Ovis aries: one gene and its partners. The protein of the gene in region 1 interacts with the protein of each later gene in a pairwise test. Links are inferred from orthologs where the notes say so. Each region holds a gene or a part of one and is shown in the gene's direction. Other genes may lie near its edges.

What was found.
Region 2: the proteins of SIRPA (region 1) and NOL3 interact in a two-hybrid assay, tested with the Homo sapiens proteins (2 studies listed by BioGRID and IntAct). The two-hybrid records come from large-scale screens. The link is inferred for Ovis aries from reciprocal best matches to the Homo sapiens genes SIRPA and NOL3.
Region 3: the proteins of SIRPA (region 1) and CCDC57 interact in a two-hybrid assay, tested with the Homo sapiens proteins (2 studies listed by BioGRID). The two-hybrid records come from large-scale screens. The link is inferred for Ovis aries from reciprocal best matches to the Homo sapiens genes SIRPA and CCDC57.

The regions. Positions count from the first base shown.
Region 1 is NC_056066.1:52,930,665-52,934,310, reverse strand, and holds part of SIRPA (tyrosine-protein phosphatase non-receptor type substrate 1), read left to right. Parts: intron 1-118; coding exon 119-475; intron 476-3,646. UniProt on the Homo sapiens protein: Immunoglobulin-like cell surface receptor for CD47. Acts as docking protein and induces translocation of PTPN6, PTPN11 and other binding partners from the cytosol to the plasma membrane.
Region 2 is NC_056067.1:34,376,757-34,380,482, forward strand, and holds the start of NOL3 (nucleolar protein 3), read left to right. Parts: upstream 1-807; 5' UTR 808-992; exon of another isoform or gene 993-1,440; 5' UTR 1,441-1,503; exon of another isoform or gene 1,504-2,646; intron 2,647-3,407; 5' UTR 3,408-3,415; coding exon 3,416-3,710; intron 3,711-3,726. Other genes in the region: HSF4 (heat shock factor protein 4), read left to right, coding at 1-79.
Region 3 is NC_056064.1:50,202,992-50,206,637, forward strand, and holds part of CCDC57 (coiled-coil domain-containing protein 57), read left to right. Parts: coding exon 1-83; intron 84-486; coding exon 487-621; intron 622-3,646. UniProt on the Homo sapiens protein: Pleiotropic regulator of centriole duplication, mitosis, and ciliogenesis. Critical interface between centrosome and microtubule-mediated cellular processes. Centriole duplication protein required for recruitment of CEP63, CEP152, and PLK4 to the centrosome.

The DNA.
Region 1 (3,646 bases):
GAGTTCAAGGCCAGCTCATGGTATGTACAGTCACTGTAAGCTGTCATTGATAAACACTTGAGAAAACCTACAGGATCACATGAGGATGAATACCTAACTGCTTTGTGTTTTCCTCCAGGAGCGGCAGGTGAGGGGGAGCTGCAGGTGATTCAGCCTGAGAGGTCAGTGTCAGTTGCAGCAGGAGAGACGGCCACTCTGCAATGCACCGTGACCTCCCTGAGCCCCGTGGGGCCCATCAAGTGGTTCAGGGGAACTGGGCCAGGTCGGGAGTTAATCTACAGTCAAAAAGGAGGTGTCTCCCCCCGAGTAACAAGTGTTGCAGATGCCACAAAGAGATACAACATGGACTTTTCCATCCGCATCAGTAACATCACCCCAGCAGACACTGGTGTCTACTATTGTGTGAAGTTCCGGAAAGGAGAACAGGGCGACGTGGAGTTTAAGTCTGGACCAGGCACTCATCTCACTGTGAGCGGTGAGTATGGCTTGGGTCTCCTTTGTCTGCTGGTCTGTGATAACATGTCAACAGGAATGCCCTTCACTCTGTGAGCGAAAAAAAAAAAAAAAAAAAAAGGCAGTCAGATGCAGCACTGTGTGCTTTCTCATGGTCTGGACATGCTCTGATTTCACGCCCTTCTACAGGTCAGGGAAGTTGAGGTCTGTGGGGGTCATGCTAATTACTCCTCATCCAGCTCATCCCATCCAACTCTTTGGTTCCAGGGATGAGGGAACTGAAAGTCTGAGTGACTTTCCCTGTCGCAGGTCAGATCCTACCACCTGCCTCCAGAGAGTACTCCCTTCAATGTGGCTGAGTGTTCCATTTGCTCAGCACCTACTGAGCACCTCCTGTGTGCCAGGCCCTGCCCTGGATGCTGTGGAGGCAGCAGTGAGCAAAGCAGGCAAGGGCTCCTCTTATGTGAAGCTTACGTCCGCTTCCTCCCAAAGAGGAGAAAGCCTTCCAGGGCAGGGAGGGGAGATGTGTTTATACCTTCTTCAGAAACTACACACTGAGGGGAAATTTTTAGGGCAGACATCCAGTGTTTACTCTGATGGCCCTGCTTGAAGGAGATGCCCAGAGGCTGGGTGTTTCCTGGGGATCTGTTGAGAAAACCCTTCACTGAAAGCTCCGAGCAGAGCTGGGTCATCTCAGAAAAATGTCCCCATGTGGCTGACTTAGGGGCAGCCCCATTGAGGTAGCAAAGGTGCTCATTTAGGGTTTTCTGCCAGAGGTCCAGGATCCTCTTTCTAACTCCTGAATCCTGGACTGTCAGCACAGGAAGGACCTTTAGACACCATCCTCCAACCCTCCATGTACACATAGGGGCCTGAGGCCAAGAGGTGACAGGGACCCAGACCACAGTCACATGGTCAGTGAGGGGATCCTTCCAGAACCCAGTCTGATTCCAGGCCAGTCCCCTTCCTGCAGCAACATTGAAACTGGTTTCATAGAAGAGCCTGGTACAAGGAGGGAGCAAAATAAAAGCCCCTTAATTTGAACCATTGAACAGGGACCCTTTTCATAGGTTTCCCAAAGGTTCATAATGCCCCTTACATGTAGGCCCTGATTCCCAAGGTGATTGGGAACCTCTTCCTACTTTTGTTTTAACCGTAAATCCCTCATTCCACATCATCACCTGGAGCTGCCCAGTATTTCAACAGTTGCAAAGCACTTGGCATATGGAGACAGCATCTACCAGTCTTTGTTAACAAATAAACAAGTTGTTCCCAAACTTAGGCCATTGAAACAGAACTACAGTGGATAACCTTACCTATACATCACTCTACTCTGGTGGGAGATGCCCACTGTAAGTGGCATTGCTAGTTCAGGCAGTATGTGGATTTAAATTTGGGTAGAAATTGCCCCAGATTTCTCTCTTAGATGTAGGGAGATTGAATCTCCCTACAACCCCTGGACATAGAAAAGGAAGGTGGCTTTTTCCTGATTTTGCAGATACTACTTTATTTCCCAGATGATGGGCTCCTTGCCCGCAAATCGCAGCCAGTAAGTGGCCCACCACCACCACTCAGATCTGCCGCCTCCCAGGAGGCTGCTCTGCCTCTTCCCCAGGCCGCCTGCCCAGATGATTCCCTGGGTGAGAACAGAGGGAGGGGTGGGGAGCAGCCTGTCAGATGCGGAATCTTCCTCATGGCTTTTACTCCTTATAACCAGTGTCTGAGGGAGGGGTTCGTCTGTTGTCCTTTTATAGATGAGGACACCGAGGCTCAAGGAGGGGACATGGCTGGTGAGCAAGTAGGAGAGCCAACATTGAACCCAAAGCAGTCTGACTCACAGCCCTGTTCTCTGCATACCTCACCATGCTTGTCAAAGTGGGGAGAAAATTCCAGCTTTGTCCTCTTAAAATCCTGTATTGTTCTATTCTTCAGTATGAAGTATAAAAAAAAAAAAGAGTCCTGTGTGAGAGGCAGGACTACCTTTATAACCAATTCAGACAGATACTACAATATATCGTGATTTTCGTAAAAAACACGCTTAAAAGCATCAGGAGTCATTTTTGCCCATTGATGTGATGTTGACCCTTCACCAGGCCCCTGTGGAGCAGGTCTGGGAAGGGTGGTGTGGACAGAGTCCAGAGGGGCCACTGAGACCCCAGCAGCACCGGACACGCCCATTCCTGGTTCGGTGGACTGAGGATGAGGAGGGGGAGGTGTTCCCTAGAGGGTAATGAGGGCCCATGTGAGCAAGAGTTCCTGTTCTAGACTCAGGTGTCAGGAACCCATGTCTTCCCTTGTTGTTCCAGGGTCCCCAGGGCTGGGCCCTGAGAGGCTCCTCCTCCCTGTAGTCACTTGAATTCAAGAATCTGAGGGAAAAGGCAGGGTGGTGGTCAGTGTGGGGGCTCCTGAAGGTGGGCACTTGCTTTGCTGATGGACCTGAAAGTTTAGACTTGACAGGATATTCCAGGACACAGTCAGGGGTGAGAGGAGACAGACCCTTCATTTCTCTCCACCTCAGTTTCCTCATCTGCACGATGGTGGTCATCATGTCTTTCAGGAGAGCTGGAAGGATTTGAGGAGCTCTGTCCAAATCACCAGCACAGAATAGGGACTCCTAACTAAACGTGTTATTTCCAGGCTGAGACCCAGTTCCCTGTGCTGGGCTCCCGTTTCCTCACCTATAGAAAGAAGATCATCTCACAGCCTTTGCAGGGTGTTCCAGGAGTACGGTGGCCTGCTGACAGGACAGCCCCTTGGGGAGGGATGGTGCTGGCCTCTCAGGCTCTGTGGTCTTGGGCACATCTCAGTTCCCCCTGCTCCTCAGTTTATGCATCTGTGAAATGGTGGGAATCACACCATTTCAAGGGTCTGTGATGACTGGAGAGGGTCTAGGAAGCCCTGGATAGGGTGGGTTAGGGTTAGGGATAGGGTGTTCCTGAGCTCAGTGCACAGTGGTTGAGCCCCCTGCCTGGGCCCCCACCCCAGTTCTGCCCCGTTCTGGCTCTGCGACCTCTGAGTCGTCCCTCCCCACCTTGGGGCTCAGTGTCCTTGTCCCCTGGTGACAGCCCCAGCCTTACAGAGTAGCTGCAGGGACTGAATGAGGGCACACGTCAAGAGCTTAGAGCAGAGCTGAGCACGTGGGACAGGTTCCACCAACGTGAGCTCTGATGTCCCAGAGCTAAAGGACCTTGAA
Region 2 (3,726 bases), on another chromosome or scaffold:
GCCTGGAGCTTTACCCATTTACAGCAGTCCTGAGAGCCGGGCCTCCTACGTGGGCGCGGGAGGCAACCCCTCCCCCTGAGACACCCTCCGCTCCGAGCCAGCCCTGCTGAGGGGCTGGCCGGCAGTAGCACGCCCCGCTCGGCTTCCTTGAGCCCCCTGGTGGACTCTGAGTGAAGCCCCAGTTACTTGGCAGCCCCTCTCCATTCCCGAGTCCTGCATAAAACCGCATTTTTTCCCCTGTGTTTCTGGTCTCTTTCCTCTACCGACCAGGGAGCACAGAAGTCATGGGTGGGGGGTGCCTTTGCCTTCATAGAAACGTCCAAATCTCAGGGCTTTAATGTTAATCGAGGAACCCTTGAAGAGCGGAGGTGCCTCCGAGGCCGAGCTCTGCTGCTTAGGCCCCATCCTCCGGGTGCGAATCCAGGGATGGTGCATGGCCACTGAGACCTCCGGGAATCGGGGGCTTTTAGGGGTCACACCCAGCACCGCAGTGCACCCGCTCTGTGATCTTCAGTAAGCTGGTCTCCTTCTCTGAGCCTTCTCTGTGCAGGCAAAGAGAATGGGTATAAAACTCCTGGGAATTGCTGGGGTACTTGGGTCCGCGGGCTTAACGGTCCCCACCCCGACTCCTCCGGCGCGCCCGGGGTGATGAGGGAAAGCGGACTTCGTAAACGCGGCCAGGCGGTACTCGACCTCTGCGGTCGGCCTCCCCGCGTCCCGAGAAGAACGGCCCCCTTTCCCCACCCCCTCCGGGTTCCCGGCAGCCCTGGCCGCCCCGCCCCCGCTGCAGCTGCTGCTCCCATCCCCACCCCGCCTGGCCCTTTCTGCCTCGTCATCTCCTGCCCTGCCGAGGCTCGACCCGTGAGTGGGGCCGCCAGGAGCGCAGGGACCGGGAGCCCCACCGAACCCCTCCCCCTCCGGCTGGGGGAGGGAAGAGAAACTGAGTTTGGGCGAAATCCGTGCCCGATCACCACCAGCAGCCGTGCGCGAAGGTCTGTGAGCCCCGCCCCTCTCCTCCCCTCTCCCCTCCCCTCCCTTCCGCAGGACTCATCTCTGGGGCTGGGTGGAGGGATGGATGTTGAGTTCGCAGTTGCGCGGTCTTCCGCGCTGGCCCACCACCTTCGCTCCTTAGCGAAAGAACGCGCGCAGGGAGCGAGGTGGGGAGGGCGGCAGAGACCCCCGACCACGCGTGCTAACTGGAGCCGCCAGGTCCTCTGGGAAGAATCTGGGCTGTGACCATTGAAGGACATAACTTCGATATTCTGAGCATTAAATCTCAGAGGATCCAGACTAGCTGGGGTCTCTGCTGTCCAGACAGGACAAAAGGCAGGACTTGAGGTAACTAGAGGAGGAAGCTAACATGAAAATAATTTGGGGAGGAGGGAGAAAAAAGGAGGGGCCGAACTAATATGTCCCCTCCCTCTCTGCACCTGTACACAGTGGGTTCTGCCTTCCCTCCCTTCCTGCACTCTTGACTGTGGGGACAGATTTTGGAAACCTCAAGTAAGACGGCAGAGGATCCATGGTACACAGTCCGGTGATGTCAGCCTAGTGAGGGTGTATGATGTTCACTGGGATACAGAGGAGAAGGAAAGAATCTGCCTCTGGGACACTTGGGCATTGGGGTAAACGAGGGGACATTTGAGTCTTGAAGATGGGTCCACCACTTGGAGGGAGAAAAGGGATTCCAGGCCCAGGGAACAGTGTCTACAAAGTTTGGGAAGTGCCGGTACTGAATGGTTGAGGAAAGTGGGGGAAAGCCTCCTATCTAGGGGCTTTAAGTGAACAGATAGTCTGGATTCTCTCTGGTGGTCCCACGAGGGTTGAGGGACAGGTAGTCATGGTTGGCATTCTGCTTGGCCAGACCCCTCGTAATTCAGGCTGGAGCTAGCCACTTGGTCTGTCTGAGCCTGTGTCCTCCTCTGTAAAATGGGCACAATAATCCTACCCTAGAGAGTTGTCCAAGTCACTGTTCTGTAGGGTGATGGGACAGGAGTGAGAGGTGCTGGGAGAGACTGTTACAGGAGATGAGGGGTGGAGGGAGATGCCGATTCTCACTGAGATGTCAGTGGAGGAGCAGCATTTGTCACAGATGGGACATGAAGGGAAAGGGAAGGGCGAAGGGTCTCTGCTCATAGCCTGAGGGAAGGGCTGACACCTCAGTAGGGCTAGGAGGGGTGCAATGACCAGGGAGGCATAGCATGACAGCAGGCAGTGAGAGAGATGGGGGTTAAGACTGAGTCCTCTCTCCCAGACGTAGAGCCAGGTAAGGAGGTGAAGGAGGCACCCCAAAGAGAGGATGAAACCCTTGGACAAAGCCAAAGCCAAGGGAGATGGACTGAGAACGGGAGTGGCCCAGGGCCTGACCTAATTGCCCCTTAATGCCAGGGACCTTGCTGCCTGGGTCAGGTGACCCAAGAGGAGATGAGCCATCGTCCTTGGCTGTTGATAAGTGAACAAAGCAGATTAATTTCTGCCCAAGGCCTGCTGTTGGGGTGGTGACAGCCTCTCAAAATGGGAGGATCCACTGAGGAAAACAGTGAAAGTTTGACAATTGCTGGTAGCTTTTATGAGTTGGGTCCTGGATACTTCAAGATGATGGCTGTGAATCATTCTCAGGGCAGCAGGGAGACAGTTTGGTCTCAGGTATGTCAGAAGATCTTGGTCAGAGCTAATACTCAGGAGGACTCAGGTATCTCTACTCAGGTATTAGGGAACCAGGAGAGTCTAGGAAACCACACTGGGGTTCCAACACGTGGTGGTATCGGTGAGGGGGTGCAGAGGCAGGGGCCTGTCCTGGAAGGATGGACCTCAGAGTCAGGATAAGTGTCTGGACTTCCTCTGGCAGGTGAGAGGAGCGGGAAGACTCTCAGCACTTTGGGATCTGGGAGGGGAGAGATGGAGCTTTGCAGGGTCTAGGCTGGAAGTGAAAGACTAGACTCTGGTGAAGTTGACAGAAGTATTCGGCAGATAGACTGGAAAGGAACTTGATTGCAAGCTGGGTGTGGGTTATCAGGACCAGCTGTAAGTTGGGGAAGCAGGTTGGGAAAGAAGTTAGGTTGGATAAACTAGGTCCGAATCTCTCGCGGTATCTACAGGTGGCAGGGGCTCAGGAGGAAGGACCTGCTTGGGGAGAGCAGTCAGAGTAGATGAGGGTCCTGGGATAGCTAGGGGAGGAGAGGAGTGCCACAGTTAACATTTAGGGGCCAAAGGTGAAGCCAGAGGGAGAAATAAGACAGAAAAGGTCAGGGAGGCAGGAGCGGTGCTGCGCTGCGGGCCTGACAAACCGCAGAGATCCAGGTGAACTTAGACCCCAGCCACGGATGTTCACTGGGGCCCCGGGAGAGAGGTCAAAAGCAGGGGAGCTCCGGCCCCCACTACCTCTCGGCCCCCCACCTCCCATGCAGCCCCTACCATGGGCAACACCCAGGAGAGGCCATCAGAGACGATCGACCGCGAGCGGAAACGCCTGGTAGAGACGCTGCAGGCGGACTCGGGGCTGCTGCTGGATGCGCTGCTGGCACGGGGCGTGCTCACCGGGCCCGAGTACGAGGCTCTAGACGCGCTGCCTGACGCCGAACGCAGGGTGCGCCGCCTGTTGCTGTTGGTGCAGAGCAAGGGCGAGGCTGCCTGCCAGGAGCTGCTGAGCTGCGCCCAGCGAACTGTGCGGGCGCCCGATCCCGCCTGGGACTGGCAGCACGTGGGGACCGGTGAGAGCGCGCGGGG
Region 3 (3,646 bases), on another chromosome or scaffold:
AGCGCCGCTGTGAAGGTGTTGAGCGGGAGCAGTACCAGCAGGCCGAGGACCTGATTCAGGGCCTGACCGCGGCCAGAGATCAGGTCTGCACTCCCCTGGGCTGTCTGACTTCTTTCTGCAGAAGGAAGGGCCGGGTATGTCCACTGCAGCATGGAGCTGGCTTGGGCCCTCACCAAGTTATCCTTTGCACTTGAAGGCACTTGGCCTCACTGAGCAGTTTGGTTTATATCAGCAGGACTTGCAATGATGAGTCCCTGCCCACAGCCTGTCTCTAATGGCCAGGCAGCTGCCTCTGGAGCTGGATGCATAGGTGGCCCCAGCATTTGCTGGGCTCCTCTGGCTCTGACGGCCACATATTTCCTAGGGTTTCTCACCCTCGTGTCTGCCCTCTGCTTCCCAGCAGGGTAGGGAGCTGGTCTGGACCTTGAAAGTGGCACCGCTCCCTTCTGATCCTCCCAAGATGAACTGAGTCTGCATTTTCCCCAGGTTGTTGCCAAGCTCCAGGAGACGGAGCGGCGGCTGTGTGACCGAGAGGTGGTGCTGAAGGCCGTGACCCGAGAGAGAGACCAGGCCCTGCAGGCTCTGCGGACACATGGGCTACTCCCTGAGGAGGAGGCGCAGGTGAGGGGCCGCCCTCCTCCTGAGTCTCCCTTGCAGCTCTTCCTCCCAGGCTCCTTGGAGATACCCGCTACCCCCACCAGAGGGGAAGCACGCCAACCAGAATCAGCACTGGAGGTAGATCTTTGCAGCCATGTTTCTTTTAAGATGACTGTTCACACCAGGTGAGACCAAAGCTCAACCAGCTAATGGGAATCTGCACTCAATCTTCTTTGTGTCTTTAGTATCTGAAATATCAAAAAACCTCAAATTCAGATATTGTACCATGGCAGACGGTAACACAGAGAACCAAAAGGTCAGAGCTTTATCCCAAAACACGCTTCTACACATGTGGTGACTGAACCATTCGATATGTAACGATGGCCGTTCCTCTCAAAAAGCACAGACTCCCGTGCTGCTGTGTGCCAGCCAGAGCCTGACACTGGCTATGGGACGACCCCAAGGTGAATGGTGGCCCCGAAAGGCGTATTCTAGTCCTGGTGCCTCAGGGTGCAACCTTCCTTGGAAATAGGGTCTTTATGGATGTGATTAGTTAAGATGGATGATTAATTAAGATCACATGAGAGCATCCCAGCAGGCATACTAGGCTTGATGCCCTAGGGGTCAAGCTCCCGAAGGTGTGTCTGTTAACAAACCTCTGGGAAGATTCACACTCAGCCAGTGGTCAGGCTTGGGAGCACTGGTGTTCCCAGGAGGAAAGGGGGGGCCAACCCTAGTCTCCAGGGTCACCTATGGTCCTGGGGACTCATCGCTGGTGGTTTTTGCATGGGTACCTTCTCTAGGTAGAAAACAAATGCTTCTTTTTTGTTGTTTTTATTAATAAGCCTCCCTACCCAAATTTTTCTTTTTTGTATTTTACCGCCAGGCTGACAATTAAAAGAAGACATTTGTCTCCAAGCACCAGCTCCGCTGGTCAGGGAGGCCTGTCAGTACCTAGTTGCCTTGTTAAGTGAACAGGAACCTTAGAAATGGCTGAGGGGTCAGAAACAAGTGCCGCATGCAGAGTCGGGGGGATGTGCACCTCTGTTCTGTACAGGGGGCCCTGGAGGCAACATGAGGGGGCGTGGCAGAGCAGCACCTCGGGCACCAGTGAAGGTGAGCTGGCCTGGTGGTCTTAACACAGAGATGTGGCCTCCTTACCAAGCAGGGACCTGGGGTGGTGGAGGATGCTGTGCAAGTTTCTGTTGACCCAGAGGAGTGAAGTCTGGAATCCTCTAGATAATAGCAAAACACCTGCGTCCCCCCTTCAGGGCCTTAATACTGTGACCAGGTTAAGGGTGTGGCCGGGTAAGGCGGCGGATGTCGGCTGGCAGGCGGCGGTTGGTGCTGAGTTCTGTAGAGGTGGGCCCTTGGCAGACACTAAGTAGGAGCAGCAGGGGCGTCTGTCGTGCACTGAAGCCGAGACAGAGGCTGCTCAGGGAGGAAGACATGGCGCTTCCTGGGAAGCGCTGAGCCCACCACTGATTGCACTGCACAGACAGGCAGCCTCTTGGCTGTGGCCACAGCTTCCTCTTTGCTTGGCACTAGTTTCGATGATGGCGCATCGGCAGGGCCGGAGTGATCACCCCACAGAGACCAAGGCACCACCGCCAGGCAGGCTGCTAGGGTAAATGCAGCCACAGCCACAGGGACAGAAGATTCACCTTGGGAATGGGCTGCACTGCAACTTTGAGGTGGATCCTGTTGTTCAGGACAAGGAAGCTGAGGCCCTAAGAGGGGTAGTCCCTTCCCCACAGGTGGCAGAGGGGGAATGTGAGCAGTGCTGGCCAGTTGGCACAGCCCTGACCACTCTACTGTCTGCCTGAGCAGGTGCAGCCTAAGGCTTTGCCTCAGAGAAGGTGGCGAACAGCCCAGTGGGCACAAAGAGGGAGGTTGGATGTTTGCAGGAGGAGTAGTAAGGCAATAGCAACCCACTCCGGTACTCTTGCCTGGCAAATCCCATGGACGGAAGAGCCTGGAAGGCTGCAGTCCTTGGGGTCGCTAGGAGTCAGACACGACTGAGTGACTTCACTTTCACTTTTCAGTTTGATGCATTGGAGAAGGAAATGGCAACCCACTCCAGTGTTCTTGCCTGGAGAATCCCAGGGACGGGGGAGCCTGGTGGGCTGCCATCTATGGGGTCACACAGAGTCGGACACGACTGAAGCTACTTAGCAGCAGTGGGGCCAGAGCAGTGGCTGGAAGGAGGCAGGCAGGTGCATAGCGGAGCCAGAGGTGGCTTGAAAAGCTGGGGACTAGCGGTAACAGAAGAAATAGCTTCACTTTGGAAACAAAAGTAATATATACCACTGCAGAAATTTTACATTAGTTCACCCTAGTGCTCTCTGGAATAAAGCTGACCCAATGTTCACCCCAGCTCAACTCCATGGCCGGACCTCTCGGCGTGGTATCTTAGTGGGAAGTCTTCTAGGTTTCATTGGTTCTTATGAGAAGTTGGCAGTTTCTTTTATTTGTCCTTCCGCAGGAATGTAATGTGCCCTTTTTCCTCTGGTGGTTTTTAAGAGATTTCCTTCATCCCTGTTTTTAAACAGTTTGACCATGATGTGCTCTTTGGTGTGACTTTCTTTGTGTTTATCTTACTTTGGGTTTGTTGAACTTCTTGGATCTGTGGACTCAGGTTTTCATCAAATTTGAAATTTTTTTGCCAACGCGTTCTGCATCCTTCTGCACCCCCTCATTGATCTGGGTTCGTGTATGTCTGCTTCCCATTGTTCTGCAGTCGTTAGGCTCTGCTGTTACTTGTTCTTTTGTCTTCCACTCTGTTCTTGAGCTTGAAGGCTTTCTACTGCTCTGTGTTTATGTTCACTTAGCCTTTCCTCCTGTAGTATCTTATCTGCTCTTAATCCCATCCTATCCAGTGAATTTTTCCTTCAGACAATGTATTTTTCATCTCTGTAGATGCTATTTTGTTCTTTTTGATATCTTCCATTTCTGTTTTTTCATATTTTTCTTTAAATCCTGGCATATATTTATGCAAACTGCTTTTAAAGTCCTCGACTATCACTCAGCATGATGTTTTCATGTTCCA